Sus scrofa: one gene and its partners. The protein of the gene in region 4 purifies or fractionates together with the protein of the main gene of each other region. This does not show direct contact. Links are inferred from orthologs where the notes say so. Each region holds a gene or a part of one and is shown on either strand. Other genes may lie near its edges.

What was found.
Region 1: the proteins of SF3A2 (region 4) and SMNDC1 purify together in Homo sapiens (affinity purification with mass spectrometry; 4 studies listed by BioGRID and IntAct, with this or other methods). This does not show direct contact. The link is inferred for Sus scrofa from reciprocal best matches to the Homo sapiens genes SF3A2 and SMNDC1.
Region 2: the proteins of SF3A2 (region 4) and U2SURP purify together in Homo sapiens (affinity purification with mass spectrometry; 3 studies listed by BioGRID, with this or other methods). This does not show direct contact. The link is inferred for Sus scrofa from reciprocal best matches to the Homo sapiens genes SF3A2 and U2SURP.
Region 3: the proteins of SF3A2 (region 4) and RBM17 purify together in Homo sapiens (affinity purification with mass spectrometry; 4 studies listed by BioGRID and IntAct, counting the BioPlex papers as one, with this or other methods). This does not show direct contact. The link is inferred for Sus scrofa from reciprocal best matches to the Homo sapiens genes SF3A2 and RBM17.
Region 5: the proteins of SF3A2 (region 4) and SNRPF purify together in Homo sapiens (affinity purification with mass spectrometry; 4 studies listed by BioGRID and IntAct, counting the BioPlex papers as one, with this or other methods). This does not show direct contact. The link is inferred for Sus scrofa from reciprocal best matches to the Homo sapiens genes SF3A2 and SNRPF.
Region 6: the proteins of SF3A2 (region 4) and PHF5A purify together in Homo sapiens (affinity purification with mass spectrometry; 5 studies listed by BioGRID and IntAct, with this or other methods). This does not show direct contact. The link is inferred for Sus scrofa from reciprocal best matches to the Homo sapiens genes SF3A2 and PHF5A.
Region 7: the proteins of SF3A2 (region 4) and U2AF2 purify together in Homo sapiens (affinity purification with mass spectrometry; 3 studies listed by BioGRID and IntAct, with this or other methods). This does not show direct contact. The link is inferred for Sus scrofa from reciprocal best matches to the Homo sapiens genes SF3A2 and U2AF2.

What each region holds. Positions count from the first base shown.
Region 1 is NC_010456.5:120,736,862-120,740,829, reverse strand, and holds the start of SMNDC1 (survival of motor neuron-related-splicing factor 30), read left to right. Parts: upstream 1-1,168; 5' UTR 1,169-1,354; intron 1,355-2,550; coding exon of another isoform or gene 2,551-2,670; intron 2,671-3,968. UniProt on the Homo sapiens protein: Involved in spliceosome assembly.
Region 2 is NC_010455.5:83,703,298-83,707,300, reverse strand, and holds the start of U2SURP (U2 snRNP-associated SURP motif-containing protein), read right to left. Parts: upstream 2,801-4,003; 5' UTR 2,691-2,800; coding exon 2,646-2,690; intron 2,621-2,645; exon of another isoform or gene 2,530-2,620; intron 1-2,529.
Region 3 is NC_010452.4:64,906,207-64,910,300, forward strand, and holds the start of RBM17 (splicing factor 45), read right to left. Parts: upstream 2,801-4,094; 5' UTR 2,635-2,800; intron 1-2,634. UniProt on the Homo sapiens protein: Splice factor that binds to the single-stranded 3'AG at the exon/intron border and promotes its utilization in the second catalytic step. Involved in the regulation of alternative splicing and the utilization of cryptic splice sites.
Region 4 is NC_010444.4:76,411,382-76,414,881, reverse strand, and holds part of SF3A2 (splicing factor 3A subunit 2), read right to left. Parts: intron 3,316-3,500; coding exon 3,244-3,315; intron 2,673-3,243; coding exon 2,626-2,672; intron 2,457-2,625; coding exon 2,347-2,456; intron 1,614-2,346; coding exon 1,564-1,613; intron 1,455-1,563; coding exon 1,314-1,454; intron 1,037-1,313; coding exon 968-1,036; intron 887-967; coding exon 107-886; 3' UTR 1-106. UniProt on the Homo sapiens protein: Component of the 17S U2 SnRNP complex of the spliceosome, a large ribonucleoprotein complex that removes introns from transcribed pre-mRNAs.
Region 5 is NC_010447.5:87,620,064-87,624,143, forward strand, and holds the start of SNRPF (small nuclear ribonucleoprotein F), read right to left. Parts: upstream 2,801-4,080; 5' UTR 2,677-2,800; coding exon 2,674-2,676; intron 824-2,673; coding exon 698-823; intron 1-697. UniProt on the Homo sapiens protein: Plays a role in pre-mRNA splicing as a core component of the spliceosomal U1, U2, U4 and U5 small nuclear ribonucleoproteins (snRNPs), the building blocks of the spliceosome.
Region 6 is NC_010447.5:7,069,851-7,073,944, forward strand, and holds the start of PHF5A (PHD finger-like domain-containing protein 5A), read left to right. Parts: upstream 1-1,294; 5' UTR 1,295-1,660; coding exon 1,661-1,712; intron 1,713-2,129; coding exon 2,130-2,153; intron 2,154-2,648; coding exon 2,649-2,815; intron 2,816-4,022; coding exon of another isoform or gene 4,023-4,067; exon of another isoform or gene 4,068-4,094.
Region 7 is NC_010448.4:59,772,761-59,776,989, forward strand, and holds the start of U2AF2 (U2 small nuclear RNA auxiliary factor 2), read left to right. Parts: upstream 1-1,429; coding exon 1,430-1,478; intron 1,479-4,229. UniProt on the Homo sapiens protein: Plays a role in pre-mRNA splicing and 3'-end processing. By recruiting PRPF19 and the PRP19C/Prp19 complex/NTC/Nineteen complex to the RNA polymerase II C-terminal domain (CTD), and thereby pre-mRNA, may couple transcription to splicing.

The DNA of each region.
Region 1 (3,968 bases), on a different chromosome or scaffold from region 4:
AATATGGAATATACCTGGGCCAGGGATCAAATCTGAGCTGCAGCTGCAGCAACCTGTCACAGCACTGTGGCAATGCTGGATGCTTAACCCAGGGCGCCACAGTGGAATTCCCCAAATGGGTTTTAATTAATTAATTAATTTATTGTCTTTTTGCCTTTTCTAGGGCCGCTTCCCGCGGCATATGGAGGTTCCCAGGCTAGGGGTCGAATGGGAGCTGTAGTCTCCAGCCTACACCAGAGCCACAGCAACGCGGGATCCGAGCAGACCTACACCACAGCTCACGGCAACCCAGATCCTGAGCAAGGCCAGGGATCGAACCCGCAACCTCATGGTTCTCATGGTTCCTAGTCGGATTTGTTAACCACTGCGCCACGACGGGAACTCCCCAAATGGGTTTTAAATAAACCATTCTCCTGTCCAATGGGTTCTGCCATAACCTAATCAGCGCTTTTGTAGCCACAAAGACCTTTTATGTTTGTTTTTTTTTTTTGCCAGAGCCATGTGGAAGTTGCTGAGTCAGGGATCAAACCCGAGCCACGGTAATGAAAGCCGCTGCACTGACAACGCGGAAACCTTGGGATCCTTAACCCGCTGCCGCCACAAGAGAACTCCAAGACTTTTATTATTATATACAGCTCAAACCTGCCCGGACTTTGGTATTACTTGGAGGGCTCCATGAAACAGGTTGCTGAGCCTATCCTCAGAGTTGAGTTTCTGATTCAGAGGCCTGAGGTTGAGAATCTGTAATAAATAATTTTTGCAATAAATTTTAAATTATTGTAAAAAAATAAAAACCAGGCGATGCTGATGCGGCTGGTACCCCGACTGCATGAGAACCAACCGCTAGTATGAATGCTACATTAAACCCCTTTCCTCCCACTACCCAGCACCCTGCGAACCTCTGGAAAAGCCGGACAGCACCCACCCCTAAATTAACAATCCAAAAGCTCCCCTCACTGAGCCAGAACTGAGACAAGACGAACGTACATCCGGTAACTTGTGCATCATAGTTACGCCATTTCCTTCCTTAGTAACCCCGCCCACTTCACGTCCCTAACCTGATTAAATGCAGGCAGTCTAGAGGGTACCAGGAATCACGTGATCGAGCGACGTCTCGCGAGGATTTTTAACTACTCGCGAGATTTCACCCGCCTCTGTCTTTTCCTCTTTCCAGTGCCCAGTTTTCGTCCACTCTTCTTCGCGGCCGGTAGATTTCTTCCCTCTTCAGACCGAGACAGCTTGTCGCTGCTGAGATTTTTCCTGCTGCTGTTGCTGCTGCCACTCTCGCCGCCACCGCCACTGGGCTCATTTGCCCCGACCCCTTCCCACTGCCCCGACCCCAACCCCACACAAGGTAACAAACCGACGAGGGAGCGAGTGAGGCCTCGTCGGGCCTCGGCCTCTCCCGAGTTGAAGCGGAGGCCTGAGGCCCAGCAGCCAGCCGCGCTGGAGGGCCCGGGTCCTAGCCAGAGTGTTAGGGGCGCGGTCTCTTCTCCCACCTAGAGTTGAGCCCGGAACGGCCTCGGACCGGGTTGGACTAATCCTGGGCACCCAATGGGTGGGGTAGGGGCGCGGGAGGCGTCTTAGAGACGCCCTGGCCCTTCGGTGCGGAGCGTGTTTGCGGGTGTGGGGCTCCGGCTCCGCTGGCCTCCGCTCCGTTCGTGTTTCGGTTTCCCTGGAAGCTGTTTGAATTTCGAGGTCTGAAATAATAGAGCAAGTTGTGGCGGGCTTTGAGGTACTGGTCACTGAGGGAGAACAGCCTGGCTCGCTCTAACCTCTTTGGAGCCCTTCCAGACTCTGGGCTGTAGTTGGACGAGAACTGTGAGACAGACGGGTCCTCGGAAACCCGTTGTGTTTGCTAAGAAAGCGGGAAAGAATTCTCTCCTATCTTATTTTCAGAAGAACGAGCGGGATTTGGTGAACGACACGTTTCTTTAGAATTCCTAAGGAAAATATCTGTGCTGTTTCTTTTACTGAAGAAAAACCATCAGCAATATTTAAGCGACTGGATGAAAGATTTTTGCTCTGGAGAAGAGTTTCTAAACACACTCGTATTAATTGGATAGCTCTTGTGGAGAGAATTAATTGCGTAGTTAATCTAAAAGCCATTTATATTTGGTTTGGGAAGTATTTTTTAGCGCTCAAAAAAATAAAGTCTCGCCTCTTTTAACAGTTTGGTACTTTTTCCCCCTTTTCTTTTGGTGACTATATAACAACCCTGTTAACTGAGCCTGTGTGTCTTCCCTGTTAACAAGAGTTTAAAGAAAATTAGAAAGTCTCCTTTTCCCTCTTACCTTTGTTTTCTGTTACTATATGGAGTTTTTCTGATATGTTTATAATCTTGAGCGTCTGTTGCCTTGGAGTTTGTGGTTTGGCTCACAACTTTTCTCTGAACTGAAAGTAAAGGTAACACAGATAAATTAAGCTACAATGAATTATAATGGGTTGGGAGCAAAATTGGTAAGGGTTAATTCAGACAGAGAAAAATTATTTTTTATGGTTTGTTTTTTGGTTTTGTTTTTATGGCCTTACTCTTTTCATTTTCCCCAGATGTCAGAGGATCTAGCAAAGCAGCTGGCAAGCTACAAAGCTCAACTCCAACAAGTTGAAGCTGCTCTCTCTGGAAATGGAGAAAATGAAGATTTGCTAAAATTAAAGAAAGATTTACAGGTAAGTAAGAGGGGACACTTATGGTTATGTTGCTTGAAAAGAATATTTCTGTGTTTTACAAATGATTTATTGCCTAGAATCTGTAGGTATCCAGAACACTCTTTGGAGGGAGTGTTTCTCTCCACATACACACTTCTTGTATGTACATGTGGGTATGCACATAGGCATACATGGCTTCCAGGAGTAGGATTGCTTCCTCAGTTTGTGTACATCAAAATGATTGAAACATTGTTTTTTGTTACGTCAATTTTGTACGCTCATAAAAAGTTTTAAAAGCGAGTTAGTTTTAGAAGTCAATCTCAAACTTTCTAGAGAAAGAGGTACATATAACTTTACAATGGCTAGCACTTCTATTTTTAAAGATCTGGAAAAGCAAATTTTGTCCAAAGGGTAACTAAATTTAAAGGGGAAAAATATAACCTAATTAAAATTCTTTTTAATGACACAAGATTCTTTGAAAATGAAATTGAGGGGTGAGAGAGAGAGTGTGCATGAGCAGGAGTGTGCAAAAGAGACTGTGTGTGCATGTATATAATAAAGCTAGCTCTAGTGCCTTGTATTGAAAACACATTATAAAAATACCTAAAGAGGTAACCTGTTTTCTGCGTAAACATTACGTAATGTTTGAACTTAAGGCTAGGTTTAACATGTAGTTGTTGACCCTTTTTAACAACTTGAAATTAAACCAAACCTATGGGAAAGGAGATTTTTAATTTGTTTTTGTCATTGGAGCATTCAGTAAGTATTAAACCTGTTTTTTAGAACTTGCTCTGGGGTTTCAAGAAAAACATAAAACCATAATTATAGTAAATATTTGTATTTTCTCAGAACACTAGGTTGATTAGTAAAAACACCCTATATAATATTCGTAAATATGTGTGACTTTTCATCTTAAGAGATTTGTGAACTTAAAATTCTGAACTGGAATTTTGAAAAGTTTTAAAAGGTGTTTTGATTAGATGGTCTGTCTTCACTGATTCAAAACAAAACTTGAATCATCTTCATTCTATCTAAGTAATTCTTTCCTTCCCTTTATATCATTCTCTTGCCCATTTAAACTGTTACTATTTTAGGGATATTAGAATGGCAGACAAATGAAGCTTATTTGAAATGGGCCCAGATTCAAGATTCTGAAAGAGCTTACCTGGGCAAAATTAAGATGAGTTAATATTTTCAGGTTCAAATTCTAGATTTAGAATAGACTTGCATGAGGTTTCAATAGTATGTTATTTTGTAAAAAAAATACAGAAACTTCAATATGTATAAGTCAGGCCAGTGGATTTCAGGGTCCTGATCAA
Region 2 (4,003 bases), on a different chromosome or scaffold from region 4:
TCATTTGACTACATATACTTGAAACAATTTTAAAAGCAAGAAGAAACTAGCTAATTTAACATGTTATAATTAAGACACATCAAATAATTTTGCCATTGTCATTGGCAAGAATCTGTTTATTTTTAAAACTTCTTCTGAGATATAATTGACATAAAACACTGTATTAGATTCAGGTATACAGCATGATGATTAAATATCTGTATACACTACAAAAACATCACCACAATAAGCCTGGTTAATAGCCATTTGCCTTACAGTTTTCTTCTTGTGATGAGAACTAAGATCTACTCTCAGCAGCTTTCAAACATGCAATACAGTAGTATTAAAGACTGTCGCCATGCTGTACATTACATTCCCTTGTACATTTTTAAGCTTAACATTTTTCTCAGTGTCTAGAAGTATGATTAACAAGCATCTCTGACCATATCAATAGGAATTTAATAACTACAATTTAACAAAGAGTAAGAAAGCACAAAACTGAAGAATCTGTTCACTCCCTCTGTATTGTAGTAGAATAATCCTCACTCATCTAAACTCCCCACAGGAAAGGAAATCAAACTAGAGAGCAAAGGCTAGAAATTCCAAGTACTGAAAGTATTAGCAAAAATGATCTTAAACTCTCTCCAATAAATTCTGGACTTGGGTTAGAAATAAAAAGCAGCAATGTGGATAGTCATTATGTTAACTAATGACCTAGATTCTAAATCTCAGCATTAGAACTTATCCTGATATTTTGAAAAGTAAATACTTTTCATTTCCTCTAAGAACAAAAGGGAAAAGCAAAGGAACTAAGAGTTATTCACTCATTTAACCTTTACGTCAACCCTGTAGAAAAAGAGATTATATCCACATTACCAACAAGGAAGTTGAGGCTCAAAAGTTTAAGCAATTTGCGACATCATAAATAAAGTACCAAGTCAGAATTTGAATCCAAATCTCGACTTTGTTATCAAAATCCATAATCTCTCCACTACCTCGTGTACCCTCCATATTAATGCAAAAAACCATATCATTTGAGCCCTACTATATTTTACAGACATCGTAGGAAACCTCTTAATCACATCAATTGACGATAATCTAAAGCAATACAAACTGAAAAGATTCCTGGCAGATTCAACAATTTACACTTACCAAAAAAAAAAAAAAAAAAGCCATATACAACCCTGACAAATACTCTTAGAGAAGGCTGAACATATGCTTTAAAATGTTTTCAATGTATCCAAGGCCTCAAATAGGAGATACTAAAGTATTATTTTGAGAAGAAACAAAAATAGTGACGCTTACCGGTGAATTTTATGGATGTGGCTAACTTTGGTAATCGTTCCCTAACAGTAAACAGGGCTGTTTTTCTGATGAGTCTGCTGAGGAAGTGGGCAGAGTGATGTACCCAACTACTCCCCTCCTCATCAAGGGGAAATTAAGTGGGGAGAGGAGAAACAAGGAGTAAACGCAGAACGTAAAGCAGCCAATACTGGCCTTCTATCATAGCCTCCACACAACTAAAGGATTTCTGGTAAATCCATTACTAATTACGAACTAATTATAGACGTCATGCACCAAATGGCATAAAGATTATGATTAGAAACTGAGAAAGCAAGTATATAATAGGTTATATTTCCCAAAACAAACTGCACACACAGAACTAGCCCCGTCTACAGTAAACTTAACTTCCTAGTAACCGACTTGCAATTCATACACACTCTTTAAGATGTGTATTACACAATTTCTTACATCAGCATAGAAAAGCTTAACAACTACTTTGGGCACTATCTACTACTTTTAATATCGTTTTGAAAAAGAAACTCAAAGCAAAAACGATTAAATGACCCGTCCAAGATGGCAACTGGTGCCAGATGCTAATCACAACCTAAAGCTAAACTACTCCCACAGCTCAGTGGTTTCACAATACTTGCACACGATTCCCTGTACACTCAAAAGCAACTTATGAAAGTTCTCCTTTCGGGAGGTGATGAGGACCCCGAGTCCTCGAAAATGAGCCCTCCAAAGAAGCGTTCATTTCATACTTCCCCTTAAGGGAGGTAAGACCACGTGTAGAGCGTAGCATTAACCTTGGTGATGCAGCACCGCAAAGGAGAACTGCTCCCGCCTCTGCATTTCCCACCCCGCGTCCCTCCACTATAGGGCCTCCCCTCACAATCTGCAGCCCTAGAGATTATTTATTCCCTGCAGGACGTGAGGGAAATTGAAGGAGGCCAGAAGCGTACGAGATCCAAACCCCAAAGAACCGAGGAAAGAGAAGTAGACCTTAAGTACCGGGAAGTGATTCCCGCCTCTCCTAGACTCTGTCCCGGAGCTTCAGAGCGCAACAAGCTGAAATACAGAGGCGCGTTTTCCTGGCGTCAGACCTCAGTGTAAATCCCTGACTTCACCCCAGTGGTAAGCGCGGGGCGAACTACTCATGCCACCTGCCCCGGGCCCGCCAGCCTCGAGCCGAATCCAGGCTGGGACCGAGGGGAGATACCAGGCCTCTCAACCTGCGCACCACGGTGCGTCTGCGCCCCGGCCTACCGTCGCGACCGGAACGCGGACTTCCACCCCAATCTCCTCCCGCTGGCCAGAAGTGTCTGTAGTCTCCAGACGACAGTGATAGACTCAATGACTCACGAAGTCCTTTAAGAAATTACCTTTGAACTGGCCTTCTGAGAGCCGCCTGGCGTTTTGTCCGCCATCTTGAGCTTTGCCCCTCCTTCGGCGGCGGCAGCAGCAGCACGGGCGAGTCGAACGCCGAAAGACTGGATCTCAACACAGCCCGCCAGAGGCGCCTGCAAGGCTGAATAGTCGATTGCCGACTATTCAAGGGGAAGTGGCCACGTGACTTCCGGTGTCGGTCTTCTTTTTTTTTTTTTTTTTCCAGCCCTGCCCACTCTGCTGAATATCTGTGGGCGTCTCCCTGGCGGGTTGCTTTCTCCGCCGGAGAATTTAGGGAATCTTGTCCAGGCTTTCAGGGCTGGTTGGAATGCACCCTTTTCTCAGTGCCAGCCCTTGATAGGCGCGAACTAGTTGCACTTGCTGGATGAGTTAGGGAAAGCCTTCTTAAAGAAGAAATGCATGGGTCAGCCGGGAGGAGTTTTTACTTCGACTCAAGTAAACCTGGAGCCAACAGGAGAGTGGGCTGAGGTATGGTGCTCCATGGACAAAGATGGTGTTCCCGCCACCTCTGGCTCTCATCCCCTAGGGGGAAAGGCAAACTTGCGGTCTGTTCAAGTTACTTTAAAATGCAGTGGTGCCGAGAAGCAGAGCAGGGCAGCTTTTGACCCAAGCTGAGATTCCAGCAGTGGGGTTGTTGGATAGTCTGTTTAAGGCGTCTGCAAAATGGGTGCGTGGAGAGAAAGGATGCATGAGAGAAAAATCATAAGCAGACGATAGTCTAAATCTAGCATTCATATAAGTTATTATTTAAAATTTTTTTTATTTCGGAGTAGATTTACAATGTTGTGTTTTGGGTGTACAGCAAAGTGGATTCAGTTACATATATACAGTTGTGTGTCATTTAAGAGACTTATAGGAGTTCCCATCGTGGCTCAGGGGTAACTAACCTGGCTGGGATCCATGAGGAAGCAGGTTTCATCCCTGGCCTCACTCAGTGGGTTAAGGATCCATCCTTGTGGTGAGCTGTGGTGTAGATTGCAGATGCAGCTCAGATCTTGCATTGCTGTGACTGTGGCTTAGACCAGCAGCTGTAGCTCAGATTCTGCCTCTAGCCTGGGAATGTCCATATGCCACACCTGTGGCCCTAAAACAAAAAAAAAAAAAAACAAGATAAAAGAGTTACATTTTACAGTTTGGTATTGCTTTCATTTTTAATCACAAATAGAGGAGAGTAACCATACTTCAGTGCTCTTTTCTTTCTTTTTTCTTTCTTTCTTTCCTTCTTTAATAGGATCTGTATTCAAAGAAGGAAAGCTTGCTTGAGGAGGTCATTCCTGAGCCAAACCAGGCAAAGAAAATGGAAAGAGCTTTCCAGGCAAAGGAAGTACTTGAA
Region 3 (4,094 bases), on a different chromosome or scaffold from region 4:
CAGCTGATTTGTATAATGTCTTTAAGAAACCTTCTAACTATTTACTTCTAAACACCATTCTTCGGTTAACACATCTTCCAGGAAGTCTCTGTGTGGCACAGCGGGTTCAGGATCCAGCATGGCCACAACTGTGGCGCCGGTCACAACTGCAGTGCAGGTTCAATCCCGGATCCAGAAACGTCAACATGCTGCAGGTGCACCCAAAAACAACAACAACAACAAAAACCCCTCCAGGTATGCTTTTTTTCCCCTTAAAAAGAAACACGGTAAACATGGTTCTGCCAGAAGAATGAGGATTTTTCAAGATTCTACCTAAGCTGGCAAAGTATTTTTTACACATGTGCAACTGGCAGAAAAAGAATACAGACATCTTCTCAGAAGCATTCCACTCACTCACCTTTCAAGTGCGTCTCTGAAGCCTCTGTGACAACCCCCCACGTAAAAGCAACTGTCCCTGAACACGTGTCTCTCACTATATCATCAGCCCTTTAAAGGTAAGGCCTGTTCTGTCTTTGCCCATAGAAGCACCGTAAGTTTTACACCATAATTCATGGGAGAGAAACTCCCCTCACCATACAACTAATAATGAGTCAAAGTTTGAGCTCTGAGCACCTAAACAAGTGGACATGGTAAGAAAAGACCTTTTATCACTAAATAGACATTCATGTATCATAAATCAAAAACGAATCCTAAAGAACACGCCAAGTGCTAGACACATGGACACAAAGCAACAGGAAAGGCCACGAGGGTGGTGCATGCTGATGCCAACAAAAAAGACAGGTAATAAGAGGCATCGCTTCATGTGTAAGATGTGTGACTTCCTAAAGAATTTTTAAATGTTTCCCTGTACCTCCAGCTCTGACCCCTTGTCACAGTTTAATACTTCCATTCATTCTCATAGACGCTATAACTGCCCAAGTACATAGGCTGGAGTGTCCGTGAGTCACCTGTAACTCAGGTGTGTAAGAGAGCATCCTTCACTATCCACGAGTACGGAAGACTTGGGGAAGGAGTACCAGCCCTGACTGCTCCTCGAGTGTAATTTAAAACAAGACAGGTAGGAGTTCCCACTGTGGCCCGGCAGAAGGGAATCCAACTAACAACCGTGAGGCTGCGGATTCGATCCCTGGCCTCGGTTCAGTGGGTTAAGAATCTGGTGTGGCTATGGCCGTGGTGTAGGCCGGCAGCTGCAGCTCCAATTGGACCCCTGGCCTGGGAACCTCCATATGCTACAGGTGTGGCTCTAAATGGCAAAAACAAAAGCAAAACAAAAAAACAAGCCAGGTAAAGAGACATCCACTTTACAAAGTTGCATTTGGAAACGCAAGACAGTTCTCCAGATTCCTGTTTTCTGTAAAGTCTGTCCGCAGCCATCAGAGAGCCCCAGGGTCAGCTCCTCAGTGCCCACACCTCTCACATCTCCCGCCGGCTCACAGCCTACTCACTGTTCTAAACTGCACCGCGTCCATCTCTTGATAAGGTTCTAAAAAGAAAACACCCTCAGTTTAAGTTACTAATATCCTACACTCCCAAAATGTCTTTGTGTTTTATAATCAAAACGTCTGTGTCCTTCACCCCATAAAACTGGAAATTGACTCGCACTCTTTAAAAACTCTGTTGGAGGAGACGCAGTCCTCACCTACTTGAGGATGTTGCGTTTCGCCCTCGTCCAGAAGGTCCTACTTCCCACCCATCCGCCTGCCTCTAGCAATAAATCCCTTCCACGGCTCTCCACTACTGACTTCTCCCACCTTCTTGACCTGACCTGACCTGCCCTCTTCAAGCCTCTCTGCCTTTGCTGCAGTTTCCGAAACGCGCTAAGACGCTCGGCCTCTGCCGCTCTCGCACTTATTTCTTCTGCAGGAAACCGTTCCCCCATCTTGCACATCGAACCAAAGACCTCCAAGGTTCAGTTATAAGCCTCCTTCCCTCTTGGAAGCCTTTCCAGACCCCCCTCCAGTCCCTCAGATCAACCCATGCCTTTATGCTTGTTTCCCGAAAGACCAATCTTCCAGACTGCAAGGACAGAGGCTTATTTATCTTGCAGCCACTGTTCGTTGCTGACAAATGGTCTGGGTAAAGGGAGATGTTCAAAAGATGCTTGGCGATTGGACGTGAGAGCTGCAACGCCGCTTTGCACGGACGAGGGCAGCGCTAGAGCCGGAGTCCCGTCTTCCTGCGCGGCCAGGTGAACCCGGGTCTCTGAGAGATGTCCACACCTGGATTCCCCGCTCTGCGGCCGGGGGAGGAAACGGCTTCCTTCCTCTGCACCCTCCAACCGGGAGGGGTGCAAGCGTTCGGGGCCACAGGTGACCCAGGCCTGCCCACCAGGTCACGGACCGGGCAACTTTCCCCAAACACGCCCGCGGGGCCAGAAGAGACGAGGACACACAGACGGAAAATGAGAATCCGGGAGAGGAGACCGGGCCCGATAACCCGGGCAAATAAGGGAAAGGGGCGGCGGGGCGCGAAGGGAGACGCGGAGAGTCGGCCGGGGCCAGGCCGCCTGAGGCGAGGGGATGGCGGCCGGGGGACGGCCTGGGACCCCCGGCCCTCACGGCGCGGCCGAAAGCGGCGGCCTCGCGTCCAGCGCCGCCCGGGAGGCGCTCGCCCCCTGCCCCGGGCGCCACTTACCCGGTCCGCCCGGCCGACGCTCCCGGGCGGCCACGCACCGGGGCCGACGCGCCGCGGAGACGGCGGGCAGAGCGCTCGGCGTCAGCCCCCGACGGCCGGACCGCTCCGGCGCCAACCCCTACGCAGAGTCCGCGGGCCGCGCGGCTGCGCGGGGTCACGGCGTGTGCGGCTGGGAGAGAGGCGCGCTGCGCCTGCGCCGAGGACGCCCGCCCCGCCGCGCGCCCCCTGTCCGCGGGAGGACCTCATCGCACCGCCACCGCGCCCGCGTCCCTCTCTCCCGCCAAAAGATGTCGCCGTGTCGCAAGGTTGCCACATTTCAGTAACACCCCCTCCCACTCCCCGCCATCGGGAGGAGGACGACTGGTGCAGGGCTGCGAAACCATCCCGCCGTTTGGGCAAAGCTGAAAATAAATGACAATAGGAGAGGTGACTGGGAAAACGAAGGGCTTCAGAAGAAATGGCCCAAAGCGCTGAAGTAAGTGTAGGACTAAGGAAACACAGGGAGGGTGTGGATGTTCTAAAGCGTCAAAGTTTAAAAACGACATAACAGAAGCTGGGAGGAAAAAGAAGGTGGAGTTCTGTGTAAATACGATTCTCACATCTGCGTTCAAAACTGTAGGCAAGGCCTTGTGTCCCTGTCCTTTGAAATAAAAGGCTTTGCCTTCCATAAGTCTCGAAAGGCTGGTTCGGGGAACTCCCGTTGTGGCTCAGTGGTTAACGAATCCGACTAGGAACCATGAGGTTGCGGGTTCAGTCCCTGCCCTTGCTCAGTGGGTTAAGGATCCGGCGTTGCCCGTGAGCTGTGGTGTAGGTTGCAGACGCGGCTCGGATCCCGCGTTGCTGTGGCTCTGGCGTAGGCCGGTGGCTACAGCTCCGATTTGACCCCTAGCCTGGGAACCTCCATATGCCGCGGGAGTGGCCCAAGAAATGGCAAAAAGACAAAAAAAAAAAAAAAAAAAAAAAAAAAAGGCTGGCTCAAAAGGTAATGCTTGTGTGAACTGGAGTTTGGCACTTGCCATCAGCCTCTACATGGATTAAATCATGAGCCACCGCACCTGCCAACCCACGGCACCCCCTGAGCAGAACTCTGGGTGAAAATCAGAGAGGCACTCTGTGCTTTGGGAAAACTGCAAGCACAGTTCTTCAGATAGATATTTTTAGGAGAAGATTTTATGTGCCCAATTCTTGCAAATTTTCATATCTAGAAAAACACTAAAATCCTTCATGGGGATGTCTGCTCCTTGTGACCTTCAGGAGAGAGCAACAAATTTTGCAAAATGGGTGTGTGCTGTATGCACCTCCCCTCCCCTTTATCGTATTCTGGTATCCCCCTTTCCTCTTTATCATATTCTGATATCCCCCTTTCCACTTGGGAGCAGCATTGCAGAGCTACCTGAAATACCACCACTTGGGCTGTAGTTAAGGATAAAACAAAGAATGTCAGGGTCATCCATGAATGC
Region 4 (3,500 bases):
ATAGGCTCTGGGCACACGGCCCAGCCCTGTATAAAAACACCCCATTTTATTCCAAGGGTGGAACACAGGAAAACAAAAGCATACTTGCTGGCACAGGGGTAGCTTTTCAGTTGGTGGGGGGAGGGGGAGGCATGTTCCCAGGGCCTTCGGAGGGCAGTGGGGGCCTCAACATCGGAGGCATGGGAGTTGGGGGATGCACCCCGGGATTTGAGGGGTGAACTCCAGGAGGCTGGGGGTGGACTCCAGGAGCTGGAGGATGGACCCCAGGAGGTGGAGGGTGAACCCCAGGAGGCTGGGGGTGGATCCCTGGGGCTGGTGGATGGACCCCAGGAGCTGGTGGATGGACTCCTGGGGCCTGGGGGTGAACTGCTGGAGCTGGTGGGTGCACCCCTGGGGCCTGGGGGTGAACTGCTGGAGCTGGTGGGTGCACCCCTGGGGCCTGGGGGTGAACCCCAGCAGATGGGGGAGGATGGACCCCTGGGGCTGGAGGGTGGACCCCAGGAGCAGGGGGATGGACCCCAGATGTTGGGGGGTGGACCACTGGTGCTGGGGGGTGGACCCCAGGAGCTGGGGGATGCACCCCAGGAGCAGGAGGGTGCACTCCAGATGCTGGAGGATGGACCACTGGGGCTGGGGGGTGGACACCAGGAGCTGGTGGGGGTAGCTGAGGAGGGCCGGGGGGCCCCGAGGGTGCAGGCCCACTGGGCGGCATAGGTGGCAGAGGCAGGCCTCCAGGTGGAGGCGGGGGCAAAGACTCTGGCAGTGGAGGCCTAGGAGGCAAACCATTCATCAGCGGGGGTGGGGGCCGCTTCACCCCGGGAGGCCCGGCAGGGAGGCTTGGTGGGGCTGGTGGCTTTTCCATCTTAAAGTGGAACTGGAGGAAAAACTGGAGAGAAAGGAGAAGCTGAGTGGGGCCCCTTGGGACCTTGAACTCCTTCTGGAACTACCCTGGCCTGGAGTGACTCACCTGCTTGGTTTCCCGGTTCCAGTGAGTCCAAAACTTGCCTTCAGCCTTGTCGATCTCCCTGCTGGGAACCTGCATGGGGCGGGGGGTGGGAGCAGAGTTCGGTTCTGGGGCAGTAGGGCTGGCTGACATTCTTGCTCCACTGCTTAGCAGCCCAACAACCCTATAAGTCAGGTCTTACGCCATCTCATTAACATCATGAACCTGGAAACCGGATGTGATCAAGGAACCCCTCAACAGCCCGGCAAGGGGACATATCACTGCTGGGGACACATAAGGGTCTCTGCTTCCTGGCAGACACCCACATCAGGACACCCAGTCCCCCACCCCACAGGGGCTGGCATGCTACCTTGAAGGCAATGGTCTCATAGGGCTCAGCGGCCATGAGCAAGTACTGCCAGCGCCGGTCTGGGGGTTCAATCCGCTGCTCGTAGGCTGACATGAAGCGGTGGCGGGGTGTGATGCCCTCAGCGACCTCAGGGTAATCAATCTGTGGGGACATGACCAGGTGGCAGCACCATCTTTTGGGGGCCCCCATGGGGCCGGAGAGGAACGAGGAGACCTTCCCCTCAGGACAGGGACCCCAGGGCTTTGCTCACCTGGAACAGGAGGCTCTGCTGGCCCATCTCTGTGTCCCTCTGCTTGGTCACTGAAACAGAGGAGGGTCTCAGGGCCAGGCTGGCCTGAAGCTAAGGGGCCCCGGGGCTGGCCTCATACCACCCACCACCAGGAGAGTGGTCTGCAGGGTGGTTGCCTGGCTGGTGAACAGTGGAGTCGCCTGTAGCCAGATGGGCACCGCCCAGGGCCAGGGGCTGGAGTTGGTTCCCCACTGCTCCCACAAGACCTGGGGAGCACCTTGTGGGTGGAGAAGCCTCACTTTAGAGCTTTGGGTTGCTCTCCACACAGCTCCCAGGCTCTCCACCACTTCCCCCACATCTAGGAAGGGGCCTGAAGGGCCAGCTCAGCTGAAAGGCCTTTGGTGGCCTCTTTAGGGCCTCTGCCTGCCAGCCTAGCCTGGGTTCACGAAGTAGGCCTGCCCCAGAACCTCTGCCATCATGTCTTGCCTTCCTTGTCACTCCCAGAAACATGATCCCTGAGGCTCCAGCAGCCCCTTAACTGGCTTCCTGGAGCAGGTGGTCCAGACGCTGCTGCCCATGCAGACCCTCACCCTTCCCGCCCCCCCTTTTCCTCAGGTGGAGGAATTGCAGCTCCGAGGTTAGAGATGAGGGCCTCACCAGGGTCTGCTGCTCCTCTGGTCCCCAGGGGAACCTTTCTGATGGGAAGGGAACAGAGCCGCCCCAGAAGGGTGCTGCTGTGGGTGTGGGCAAGTGAGGACTGTGGGGAACAGTAGTCTGCATGACTCGGGGCTGGGGCCCCCTTACCTTTGTAGCCTGGGCGGCCAATCTTCACAAACTTCTTCACCTCCACCTTGACCTTCTCTGGCGCCGGCTGGGCGGGGGCCTCCTTGGCCTCCTTGGCTGCTCGCCGGGCCCTGCCGGGAGGAGAGATGCGGTGCTGTGGCCCCTCTACACAGGCCGCCAAGGCCATGGACCCAGGTGCCGGGAGCACCCCACCCCCTGCCCGACCTTGAGGCTGGTCTTGGAGGTGAGGGGGTGGGGTCAAGTAGGGTGAGTGCAGGAGGGGCGGGGTGAGGCACTCACAGGTTGGTCTGATGCTTCTTCCCTTGGGTGTGCGCAAGGTAGCTCCCCTAAAATGTGAGAGGGTCACACAGTTCAGGACTCTGAGTGGGAAGTGCCCGGGTGCCTCTGACCGGCCCAGGCCAGCCTCTATCTCCAGGCTGGCACTGGCAGGCCAGGGTGCAGGTGAGGCCTGGTGGCCTGTGGGTAAATCCTGGCATGGATGTGCTATGGGGCCCCGAGATTCTACCTTGATGACCCCCACATGTCAGGTGGTCTCCACTGGGGGCTTTCTGACCCCCCACCCCAGGACACCATGCCCACGATGGTCCCCCACAGAAAACCAGCCCCAAGGCCGTGGGGGAGACCCTCTCATATGAGACTGTTCAGTGCTGCACTGAAGCCTGGAGCTGTGAACCAACTGGAAACAAACCCAGTGCTAGATGGTGAAGGACAGAGGGAACCTCCTCGTCATGGAGGGAAGGAGCCCAGCGTGAGCAGCAAACTAGAGCCACACTAGCCAGACCTCACAACCCAACACCCCTTGGGATCTCCTCATGGAGATCCACTCAAGGCTGTGGTGCCTAGTGGGGCAGGATGGGGGTTGGGGCAGGATGGGGGTTGGGGCGGGATGGGCCGCACCTCATTGTTGTGCAGTGTCAGGCACAGCTTGCACTCGTAGGAGCCCAGGTGGTTCTTCATGAAGTAAGGGTCCTGAGGGGGAAGCACAGTTGTCAGATGGTGGGTAGCATGCTGCCAGTGGCTGGGCTGAGGTACAAGGCCTGCCTCTGTTCCTGAATCCTGGCTCTCCTGCGGTTGGCACTGAGAGGGCACTGAACCCTTTCAGGAATGTCTCAACGCTGAGCCTGAAGAACCCTTAGTTGATTATCTCAGAAAAT
Region 5 (4,080 bases), on a different chromosome or scaffold from region 4:
CTTCTCTCTTAAGAACTGCTTCTATCAAATTACTTAGATTTGTACATTTAGCATTTATCAAAAGACACGAATTTCACTGGAAAAGGTTCTCTCGGACCAAGTGCTGGGATGTTTTGCTTTCCCCACAAATCAGTATATTTTTCTTATGACATTGTGAATCAAACGCCTGAGCTCTTCTTACTTTTAACCACCTGGGAATCAAATCTGTGGCTGAATTTTTTTTTTTTTTTTGTCTTTTGTCTTTTTGTTGTTGTTGTTGTTGTTGCTATTTCTTGGGCCGCTCCCGCGGCATATGGAGGTTCCCAGGCTAGGGGTTGAATCGGAGCCACAGCCACCGGCCTACGCCAGAGCCACAGCAACGCGGGATCTGAGCCGCGTCTGCAACCTACACCACAGCTCACGGCAACGCCCGATCCTTAACCCACTGAGCAAGGGCAGGGACCGAACCCGCAACCTCATGGTTTCTAGTCGGGCCCGTTAACCACTGCGCCACGACGGGGAACTCCTGTGGCTGAATTTTTAATATGTCTCATACAAAGTTCATCAAATTATAACATCCTCCTTAGCCTTGATTTGACCCCTTAATTTTGCTTTGTTTGTCAATTAATTATATCCCTGTAAGTCACACCAAACCTTTGAGAAGTCACATGAAGAAAAATAAATACAATCTAATGATCTTCATAACTCTTCCACTTACCTGCATATTCATATAGCCATCTACAGACACCAGGTAGCCTTTGTACTCCATTCCCCACTTAAGTTTCACCATCACTGGCTTCCCTGTTAACCCATTGAGGAAAGGTTTGGGATTGAGAGGCAAACTCTGCAAAACAAAAACAAAAAAAGAACCCAACTGAATAAGTTTCTTTAGCTTGGTTTCTATTACCTACTCTTTTCTGCCAAATTACCAATATGCTGTGGTATCCAAATGAAGCAAACTCTTGACTCCATCTCACGTTATTACATAATTTTCACTTTTATTTGTGGAAGAACTTCAAAGAAATATCCAGCCAGTCAATTTCATCAACCCCATCAAGACTTATTCAATGTTCACTTAAGAAACATTCACTCACTGTTCCAAAAATATAATGAAACCAAGGAAAAGGCAATAGAAAAAAAAGAAAAAAAAAAAAAAAGGCAGATGACAGTCCCTGTCCTTAAGAGACCTACAGTGGGAGGGAAGGGTCAAAACATACACGAGTGGGCAATTACTTTGTAATGTAGTAAGAGGAGAATGCTATTACATGATACCAAACAATCCAGTGTTAAGAGAAATGGAAGAGTTGCCTGAAGTAAGTAAATGCCTGTTTTAAAGGATGACAGATATTTCCAGAGGGAAAGAGGCTATTCTAGGCAGAGGAGGCTACCTATGCAAAAGGAGGGAAGAATGACTCGGCAAGGTGATCTCAGGGACATAAAAGTTAGTTTTGTATGAAGTTACTGAAGAGGCAGGGGCAGATCATAATTGAGTCTCTCACTATGAAAAGGTAGGCCTGGATCTTATTTGACTTAGCAGTGACTCCTACATATAGGCAATCAATCACTTAATGTTTGTTTATTCAGCAAATGCAACAGTATCTCCAACGAATTCAGACTTTTCCCCCTTCCTTCATCTGTTGGCCCATCCACCCAAAGAGAGAAAAGAACCAAGAAACTTGGCTACTAAACCCCTCTAGGATAAGCATACTCAGAGTGATCTCAAATAGTTCTATGGTCTTCACTCTTTTCTTTCTCCAATTTATTAGCCACACGGCAAGTATTTTTTATCACATCATATCTCTACCTAAAATGTTTTGATGGCTTTCCAAAGTAGACCCGGGAGTAGAACTCAGACCTCCTAAAACTGCCTAATACTTGCCCAACACTCCATCCTAGCAAGCAGCTGTGGCTTTCTCTCAATTCCTCCAACTGGTCAGGCTTTCTTTCGAGGCTCAGAGTCTATGCTCATGTTTCCTGAGCTTGGTGTATACACTCTTCCGCCTCTTTAAGGGTGTGTATTTCATATCGTTTAAGTTTCAGGTTAAATCCCTTCTCCCAAAGATGCCATCCTTAAACACTTCTAACGTAGCATGGTACCCCCTCATAGCATCCTGTGTGCTTCCTCCTTAGCACTAACTTTATTTGAAATTATGTATTTGTCGTTATTTGATCAATGTCTCTCTCTCTCTCACACCGACTTAAACTGGAGCAGGGGCCACACCAGTACTTCTCGCCCTATAGTCCTAGTTCCTAGAACACACCTGACAGGTAGCAGGAGCTCAGTAAAAATTTGCTAAGAGAACAAATGAATGCTCAAAGCTCGGGCTCAGTATTCCAAAGGGCTGCAGGGCTTCCCAGCATCACCAGACAAAAGCGGATTTTGGAGTGCTGTAAGCTGTACGTGAAAAACCGCTTCATCTTTACTCCAACTCTGTGGTCCCAGGCAGCAAGAGCAGCTCAGGCTCAGATTCAAACGAAGAAGAGGGGGAAGGGGACATTCCTAGGGAGGGGAAGGAGGGCGTGCGTCAGACACCCAGAACTGGCAGAAAGGGGCTGGCCACAGGCTGCGCGGGGCCTCACGCGGATGAATGGGAAACGCGCGAAGGCCCGGCGAAGCTGGTCACCCGCCCTCCCGCCCTCTCTCTCTCTCTCTCTCCCCCACACGGGCGACTCTGACCTTCTCTTTCTCCTTACCATCGCGACTACTGCTGCTGTAGTGGGCAGATGCTGCAGACTACCCGCCGCCGACTCAGCGCCGTCCGGCCCTCGTGGACTGGAGTTGGCTACAGCAACTTCCCAGCCACCAAGCTTCCAGAGAAATGGCCGCCAAATAGCAGCGTGACCTTTCCCCTCCGACTACGGCTCTTCCGGCTTCTGTGATTGGATGCAAAAAGATGCGTGCTGATTGGCGGAAGTGACTGGGGCCTGTCTCCTGGCAACCAGCAGGCTCGAGTTTCCGAGCGCCTTCCCGGCGGGGGCAGGAAATAGGAAACCTTCAGCAGCATGGGTCTGATACCTGCGGCACTGCAAAGGCAGAGAGGTGGCTCGAGTTGCCTGTTTGCTCGCCTGCCTCGAGGGTTTGCTGTCTGTCCTGCAGAATGGACGTGATTTCTCGCCAACTTGGCTGGTGGAGTTTCCTTTGGCTTTGCACACCTGGGAAAACGAGCTCGGGGCTCTCAAGTTTCTTCTTCATTTTCCCACAGATCCTGAGCCATGGGGACTCCTCTGCCACAGTCCCGTTCTACCTGATGGCTCTCTATTCTGTAGTGCTCATTTCACCCCATCTCAGAGGAAGTGGAAGAAGCAAGACTAGATAGACTTAAGGAGGTGAAACGCACCGGAAGAAAGTCAACTGCAGAATATTTTTCAGATGAGGTCAGACAGAGACTAAAATACGGTGTGGTGGCCTCCCGGTCCACCTGTTTCTTGTGCTTTGCGAGCAGAGGCCCACTACAGTCCTCATACTGGATTTATTTTTTTCAAATATATATATATCTAAAACATTTTGGATATAAATTTATATACATGTAATATATATTATAAATAAATTGCATATAAATTCAGTATAGCTGAATTACAACATTGTGCCAGTTTCTGTTGTACAGCAAAATGACACAATCATACACATATATACATTCTTTTAAAAAAATTTTTTTTTCTTTTTTGTTTTTTGTTTTTGCAGCCCTAAGGAGTTGAATTTGAAATTGAAATTTATGGAGTTCCCGTCGTGGCTCAGTGGTTAACAAATCCGACTAGGAACCATGAGGTTGCGGGTTCTATCCCTGGCCTTGCTCAGCGGGTTAAGGAGGTTAAGGGTCCGGCGTTGCCGTGAGCTGTGGTGTAGGTCACAATCCGGCTGCGATCCTACATTGCTGTGGCTGTGGTGTAGGCCGGTAGCAATAGCTCGGATTAGACCCCTAGCCTGGGAACCTCCATATGCTACGGCAGCGGCCCTTGAAAAGACAAAAAGACAAATAAGAAGAAAGAAGAAAAAATTGAGATTTAAATGTTGCGGTATTGTGGAGTAGTGGCTAAGACTTTAGAGGCAGTCTGAGTTTAGAACGTCTATCACGTGGGAATGGTATTGGGCAGTTTCTTAAC
Region 6 (4,094 bases), on a different chromosome or scaffold from region 4:
GAGAATGCTTGCTTGATTTTTTATTAACGAAATACGTTCTTGACATTGAACCTTTGAGTGTAACATCTTCCTAGGGTTGTCAAGTCAGGAGTGAAAAAAAAAGAAATGGCAGTCAGTCAATCTTCTAGATGGTTCAAAAGAGGACAGTCAAGGTCAAACTGTTGAGTCTCTTTTACCCTCCCCATCTAGTAACTGAAAAGCAACTGATTGTGAGCTCAAAATACGCCATTCTGGAACTCCCACAAATACAAATGTCAGCTCCAGGACCACACTCTGGCTCAAAAAGTTCTGTGAGGGCAGGCTGAAAGGGACAAGGAGAATGGGGAGTAGTAGGGCAGATGCTCAGGCCACAGCACTTTGGTAAGACTCAGAGAGCAGAACTTTTACCTGTTTTCTAACAGCGTCATCACCTATCAAATAAAAATAATCATCTCCAGAAATGATGATATGAATCAAACGATGTGGTGAGGAATTAAGTCTTGCAATCTTGTGCAAAGCTGAGAGACTACTGTCATCATTACTATTTGCTACATCTGGGCACGGAACCCACCCCCTCGAATTCTTGGGTACATGTTCCGCAGGATCCCCACAAGATGGAATAGGTCATAGTTTTTTTTTTTTCCCCCCCTACAGACTCCATGTTTGGCAACCGTAGATGCACCTGGCTAGCAACTCTGTGCTACTGAGATGAAAAGTGAGGCCTTCAGGCTCTGGGCCTAGCGCGCTTACCAACCACCGCGCCCCCCAGTCACCTTGTCCTCACCTTGAGGAACGGGGGAGGAAAAAAAAAAAAAAAAAAAAAAGCCTTACGGGGGAAGAAACTGCGGTCCTCAAAAATGAGAAAGACGTGCCTCCACTCTTCACCCGGCCGCCGCTTCTTAGGCCCTTGCTTCCAGCGGGGCGGGGACAGGGCTGAGAGCTGACTGAGCCGGGGACGCCCTGACCTCGGGCGCCAGAGGAGCGGGTATTTGCGCTGGGCCCGCGCAAGGGACAGGTACGCGAAAAGTCGGCCGGAGGTCAGGCCCGCCTCGCCTTGCCTTGCCCATAGCCGCAAGCGCAAAAGAGGTACCCCGCCCCCGTAAACCTAGAGGGCTCTCGGTTCGCTCACCTGCAGCCGGGTCACCAGTAGGCTGTAAGGCGCCATTTTGTGCACTGACAAAGATGAGGTCGCTTGAAAGTGACGTGACACGCGGCTTATTTAAGGCCTTCGGTGAGGGGCGTGACCTGAGGAGAAACGCGTCACGCTGAAGGCGTTCCCGCGAGCGACGTGGGCGGAGCTCCAGAGTCAACCTGGGAATTGGGAGAGAGCTGCCTAAAAAGTTGGGGTAGTAAATACCCGGCACAAAGATATCAAAGTGCAAATTTCGTCTTTGCGCTCTGCAACTTGTCCCTCCCATTCAAATCTGGGAAAGTTTTTTTTTTTTTTTTTCCCTAAATGACCCGCACACCCCTACCAAGACCTGACTCCCCCACTGCCAACGGGAATTCGTCTTCGGAATTTAAGTGCTTTGATCACGCGAGAATGAGCGGGGCTTGGTGCAAAGATTGCAAACGCTGATGGACGCCTAGAGAACCAATCAGGGCGACGAGGAGGCAGGAACAATCAGGGTTAAAGGTCTGGCGGAAGCTCCCTAAGCTTCCGGTGGTTTGAGCGCGAGCGATGGCTAAGCATCACCCGGACTTGATTTTTTGCCGCAAGCAGGCTGGTGTTGGTGAGACGGTCTTCTGCCCCCGGCTGTTTGGGTGGGGATGGTATTAGGACCTTAAGAGTCCGGGGTTCCCATTACTCCTTTAGGGTGTTGCTTCGGAGGCGCCCCGTTTCCCGCCTCGCCGCCGGTAGTGTAGGAGCGCGTGGGTTTGTGGGCTCAGATGAAAGGGGGGCGGGGGCGCGCGTGCTGAGAGCTGGAGAGGGGCTGCGGAGATAGAGAAATTCTCAGTTTTCCCAGGACCTGGGAGGTCTTACGAGGGTGCGGATTTGGTTCGGATTGAAGTTTATGAGAATACGATGGTTAAGACCTCTCAGGGCTCACTGCAGACCCTGTACCTGTCCCCAACTCAAGCTCGAGGCTTTTGTCCCCTCTTCTAAACCTTAATCCTAATTGTACTCTTTATCACCTTTGATCTTGCAGCCATTGGAAGACTGTGTGAAAAATGTGAGTGGAACACGCTTCTCCAAACAGCCCACCCCTCCCACTCAGCTTCTATAGTGGCAGCAACGGACATTTTCAGCGGTGCCACGAAGAGGGCTTTGGATAGACATGATTGGAAGCATGTTAATACAAAGCCAGACTGCAACTAAAGGCCACCTTCCCGCTCCAACTTGTACATTTTAGGCACTGTATTTAGGTTTTGACAAAACCTCTAGCTTTGGACCAGAAGTAGCATGACCCTGCCCCCAACACACACAGCATTCTGCCAGTCAATTATATAGACTTATCTACCGACTGCTATTCTAAGCCCTTTATATTAATTGATTAGCTTTCCTATGTGTTGGGGAGATTGAGAAATGGACGCTAGGTAAACCAATTTTATAATGCCAAAATAGAGGGCTAAAGTCACTGTCAGAAGGACATAGTGTTTTTACCCATAGCAGGAAGAGGACCTGAGGTACTTGCAAGTGGGCGTAATTCAACCTCTTTTCCTTACAGGTGATGGCAAGTGTGTGATCTGTGACTCCTACGTGCGTCCCTGCACCCTGGTGCGCATATGTGACGAGTGTAACTATGGCTCTTACCAGGGGCGCTGTGTGATCTGCGGAGGCCCGGGAGTTTCAGATGCCTATTATTGTAAGGAGTGCACCATCCAGGAGAAGGATGTGAGTGTATACTAAGCTTTTCCTCTGATCTTTCCTTTCGTTTAGGAACACTTGGCCATCCACAGCAGACTCCTATGGTCAGGAGATGGCTGTTCAGCCAGTCACCTAGGTTATAATTTTCAAGTTCTGTAAACCAAACTGGGTGTACTCCAACAAAAGGTAGTTATTTTGCATCAAGTACACAAAGGCGAGAAAAGCAAATTTTTGTCAACACTGGCAATTTGATGTCTTTCTCTCTCTCTTTTTTTTTTTTTTTGGCTGTGTCCACATGTGGACGCTCCCAGGCCAGGGATGAACCATGCTGCTGTTGTGGCCTGTGCCACAGCTACGGCAATGCCAGATCCTTAACCTACTGCACCACAAAGGAACTTTCTCTCTCTTTTTTTTTTTCCCCCCAGAAACTATGCTGCATTTTTAAATCATACCACAGTGCATGATGTGCAGAAGTCACTAATTTGTGCTACCATTAAGGAACGTTAGGGTGGATGTGATGACTTTTGAATTTGGGACAGTTCAAGTTCATTTCAGCTCTGAGTGGCTAGAGAGTGCCTTTGGTTGATTTTGCAGAATTGATTGTAATTCTTGCTCATGGCATTTTTGCCCCTTGACATTTTTTTGGTGCCAGTGGCTTTTTTTTTTTTTTTTTTTTGCTATTTCTTTGTGCCGCTCCCGTGGCATATGGAAGTTCCCAGGCTAGGGGTCAAATCGGAGCTGTAGCCACTGGCCTACGCCAGAGCCACAGCAACGCAGGATCCGAGCCGCCTCTGCAACCTACACCACAGCTCGTGGCAACGCCGGATCCTTAACCCACTGAGCAAGGGCAGGGATCGAACCCGCATCCTCATGGTTCCTAGTCAGATTCGTTAACCACTGCACCACGACGGGAACTCCGGTGCCAGTGGCTATTTATTCAACTCTTTGAGCCAGGATAGAGGGCTTGTAGATCTATTCCAAAAGCAGGCTTGGGGTAGGGGAGGTTAATCAGCTTTTATTCATATGACACAATAAATAAAAGGAAATGTGATATAGTACCAGTAGACTATTTATTATAAGGTATCTGGTTACCTAATCTAGGATAAGGCATGAGATAAAATATTTCTTAATTTTTCCTTGTGCAAAGAATAGGTAGTTTCTATGTGGGTATTATCTTCCATATTCTTCACAGTAACTTTGTTAAATAGGGATTATTACTATCCCCCTTTTACAGTCTGTCCTGCAGCTAATAAGGGGCAAGCCCCGGCTGTCTGTCTAAACCTGGTGATAGCTGCAATACACCTTA
Region 7 (4,229 bases), on a different chromosome or scaffold from region 4:
TGTGCCCTGAACAACTCGGAGGAGCAGAACTCCGGGAAGGAGGCATGAGCCGACTTGGACCAGAGGCAAGGCGGCAGAAGGCGGGACTCAATGACTTTTGGGAGAGGCGACCATCGAGGGGAGCGGGGAGCTCTGAACAGAGACTGCCTCCAGGAGGCGGTAAAGCGAGATTCTCTGTCTCCCGGAAGTGCCCGCTGCGTGGCTAGCAGCGTCGGCGCGGTTGGGGGGGGGAACGCTCGCTTGTGTGGTTGCCACGGCAACCGCAAGGGGGCGGCCTTGCTCAACGGTCGGGAATGTAGTCCCTTCCCTGGAGGAAGGAAATCTCGCGCACGCGCGCTCGGGCTGTGGCCCCGACGACCCGCCCCCCCTCTCCGAACAGTGAGAGGTCTCGGTTCAGACCGATCTCTACGCAGGCGCAGAGGCTCTCTCGCGCTCGCCCCTTCCACTTTGCGCATGCGCACAAAGCCGCGCTGGCAACCTCCGCAGCAGCCGCGCGCACTCTTCACTCCGCTGGCTGCTTTTGTCTCGCGAAACCTTCTTAGGCGCTTCTCAACATCGGTCCTTCTTTTCCTCCCATCGCCCCACAGGGAGAGCCGGGTGCTGAGAGCCGAGACCCTGCCTCTTCTTTTCCTTTCCCCTGACCCACCTCGCCTCTGTCCTCCCTCCCTTTTTGGTTCCCGGAGCCGGAAGGAGCCGAAGCGCCCACGGAAAAAGCCGAAGGTGTCTGCTGTGAGTCCTTCCCCAGGCGGTGGCGGAAGGAGCCGAAGTTCTCCGAAAGGGGGAGGAGGTTGCTCTTGGAATCTCCGGAAAGAGCCGAAGTTTGGAAACGGGTTTAATCTCTGGTTGGGCCCGAGGGGGAGCGCCAGAGACCTTCGGAAAGTGCCGAAATCCGGGACGGTTAGGATTGTCGGAAGTGGCCGATTGCTTGGACAGGGCCGTTGGGAAAGAGAGGGTAGAATCCGTGGAAGCAGCCAAAGACGGACGGTTTGAGTTCTTGGAAGAAGCTGAATTCTAAGTGGGGAGTCTGGGTGCTAGGAATGCGAGGACCTACGGAAACATCCGAACGTTGAAGAGCTACTATCCGAAAAGTTACGAAAACCTGAGAAGCCTGCGAAACCCTCGCTTCGGGTGTTTTCGGAAGCAGCCGAAGTCGCCTCTCCCTTCGCTCCTCCACGGTCCGGAAATAGCCGACGCGTTTCGGAGCCAGGCCCTGGGGGGAGGTGCGCCTCGTGGGCGGGCCGGCGGGGAGAGGGGCGGAGCCGGGGCGGGGCTGGGCGGGCGGCAGGGGCTTGATTAGGTAGGAGGCGGTGGAACGCCGGCGGCGGCCGGAAGTAGCCGAAGCAAGCGGCGGAAGTAGCCGAAGCGGCCGGATCGGGCGCGCGGCAAGGCGAGGCGAGAGCTACACAGGGCCCTACGCGGCCGCCTCAGCATGTCGGACTTCGACGAGTTCGAGCGGCAGCTCAACGAGAATAAGCAAGGTGAGGGCGCCGGGGGTGCGGGGCGGCGGGCGGGGCGGCTCTCGGCTTCCCCCTGTGTCCCCCGCCATTTTCCCCCTCGCTTCCCCCCCTTAGGCCCGCACGGCGCCCCCCCACCCCGCGGTGCGCGCCTTACTCACGTGACCGCCCGGCGTGCCGCCGCGCGGGAGGGGAGGGGGCGGCGGGCGCATGCGCGCCGCGTTCGGTTCCGCGCCCCACGTGGCCCCCGGCGCGGGTGGCGCGGGCGCCGCAGGCTGTCGGGAGTCCGTTGCGGACTTATTTTCTATTTTTTTAATTTGGAAAGGAGATTATGTAGATTGGGTCCCGCAACCCCTCCTTTTCTCCCGATGCCCTCGCACTTCCGCTTCCGGCCGGGCCCGCGGCCGGTGTCTCCACGCCCCCTTTGTTCCAAAATGGCGGTTGGAGCCCCCCTTCACGTGGGCGCATGCAGGGCCGCGGTGTGGGCCCTTCTCGCACCGCCGCCCTTCGCGCCTTTCCTGGGGGCTAGTCGCCGGGGTCCCTTCCAGCCTAACGTGGGTGATGCGGTGTCTCCTGGGAGAGGTCCGCACTGTGCGTTTTCAGTGTTCCTCCCGCACGCGGTTCTCCCTCGCGCCGTCGCGCCAGGCACAGTGTGGCGTGTCTGCCCCCCATATCTCCTCAGTTAGACAGGTCCCCTGTTCTGTACGAGCCCACCCTCCGGGCGCCGCGTGTGTCCGCCTTTTCAACGTGGCGATAAAGAGACAGGCTCGGAGCGAGTAGGGAGACTTAGCTCAGTTGGGAGGATGGGAGGCAAAGTCCCTCCGGTGATGCGGAGTCCAAGTAGGAGGCCGAGCTAGTGCCGACTAGTTTGGACACCCCACGAATGTTAGAACAAACTTAGGCCTGGAGGAGGTGGCGAGCGCGAGGCCTAAGCTCCTTGTGGTCAGAGGACTGCACAGGGGGCGGGGGGCGCTGGGGTTCCCCTTTCAGCCCAGTCTGCAGTTGGGAGCAGGTGGCTGGTTTAGGAGGAGACAGCGCCTGGGGAAGACGAAGTCGGGTTTCGGAGTGCCCACGGGGTGTCTGTACACGTTGTAACGCTTCACAGCACAGGCTTTGGAGGGGAGGAGACTTGGCTTCTAGTACCTGCTTTGTTGCTAAGTAGTTGTGGAACTTTAACACGTCTATGCTTTTTTTTTTTTTTTTTAATCCTTTTCTTGTGTGTAGTGGCTGTTAAATAGGTATGTGTCTTTATTACCGGTTTCTGGAGTCAATGGTGATGGCAGTACTGATAGTGCTTTGCTAAGCTTTTACACGGCTTATTTAAGTAGATGGTCAACAGCCGTGGGGGACTGACATGACTTCCTTTCCTTTGCAGAGGAGGAAGCAGGCTCAGAAAGCTTGAAAAACTTTCTTTGGTTTTAGCTGGTGAGAGTTGCAGCTGAGGTTAAGTGAGGTAATGTGTGTACAGTGTGTGGCATACGGTCTGGCATTCGTTAAGTGCCTAACGAGGAGTATTGTGAAATGATCCCTAGTGAAATTTCTTAGGAAGGTAATGGAGAGGCTGCCCTGAGCTGCCTCAGAGGTGGTGTCAGAGTTGGGACAGCAGGGAGAGGTGCTTTCCCAGCGTCATTATCCCATGTCCCACACTTGGGGCGGGATGAGCGTCGTTTAAAAGACCGGGAACACTGAGGTTGGAAGGTACGGTTGCTGTTTTGTGGTTTTATGCAGTTGGTAGACAGAAGAGCTGAAGCTGATCCTGAGTCTGGCTGCAAAACCACGTGCCCCTAGGCTGGACTGCTAGATGGAACTGAATGAACCTTCCTTGGGGCACTTGCACACGTGCTGCTTGGTTTCTCTTGGGTGTCCCCACTGGTACTGGCACGTCCCTTGGGCTGGTGGAGTTGTTCCCACAACAAAGTGATCACAGCGTTTTGAGTAACCACAGCTGCCTTTCCTTCCTGACCTGTTTGGGTTGAGGCAGGGAACCTACTGTTGCTTTAAGGGGAAGCTTTGCCCTAGTATCGTTGTGCCTGTGGGTCTTTGTCTCTGTGGTCCAAGCCTCCTCCAAGCCTCAGTCCCTGCCTTGTGCACCTGTGTCTCCAGGGAATTAATTTCCTTGTCTGTGTCTCAGGCACCCAGCAGGCGCCACTTCTTCCTCTGTGTCTGTTCCTCTCTGCCTGCTTGTCTGTTTCAGAACCAAAGCCACAAAAGACGCTGTTTTTATAGTTGGCCCATCTTTCAAGAGTGGAGCCAGAGGCCCAGAGCCTCAGGCCAGCACACCTCTGGGCCCTCAGTGTCATGCTTACCTGCTACTTCATGCTACTTGCCTCCTGGTTCCAGGCTTGGATTTGTTTTTCGTGTTCAGTCTGTGTCTTCAAGGAGGTAACCGCTTGTCTTTAGGGGCTCCCGCCAGACCCTGGAGTGTTCTGGCTGCCCCATGTTGAGTATTGCCTAGTGCTTAACTGCACTTGTGGGCATTTCAGTGTTCACAACTTCCTTGCTTTTTGGCCAGGGGCAAGTCACATGACCTCCCTGAGCCTCAGTTTTCCCATCTGTCAGGTGAGCCTCTAGCAGTGTCTCCCCAAGGTAACAAGATTAAGTTCAAGTAGAGCTAGCACAGGATCTAGTCTTAGGTACCATTGCAGTGTTGGCTGGAATTTTTTTTTCTGTTTTCCAAGGTGCGTGTTTTTCTGTCTTTTAGTGGTTCTGGAGTTTGAGTTCACTTGTGAAAAGTTTTATGTTTAATTGCATCAGAAAAACATGTGAGGCAAAAGC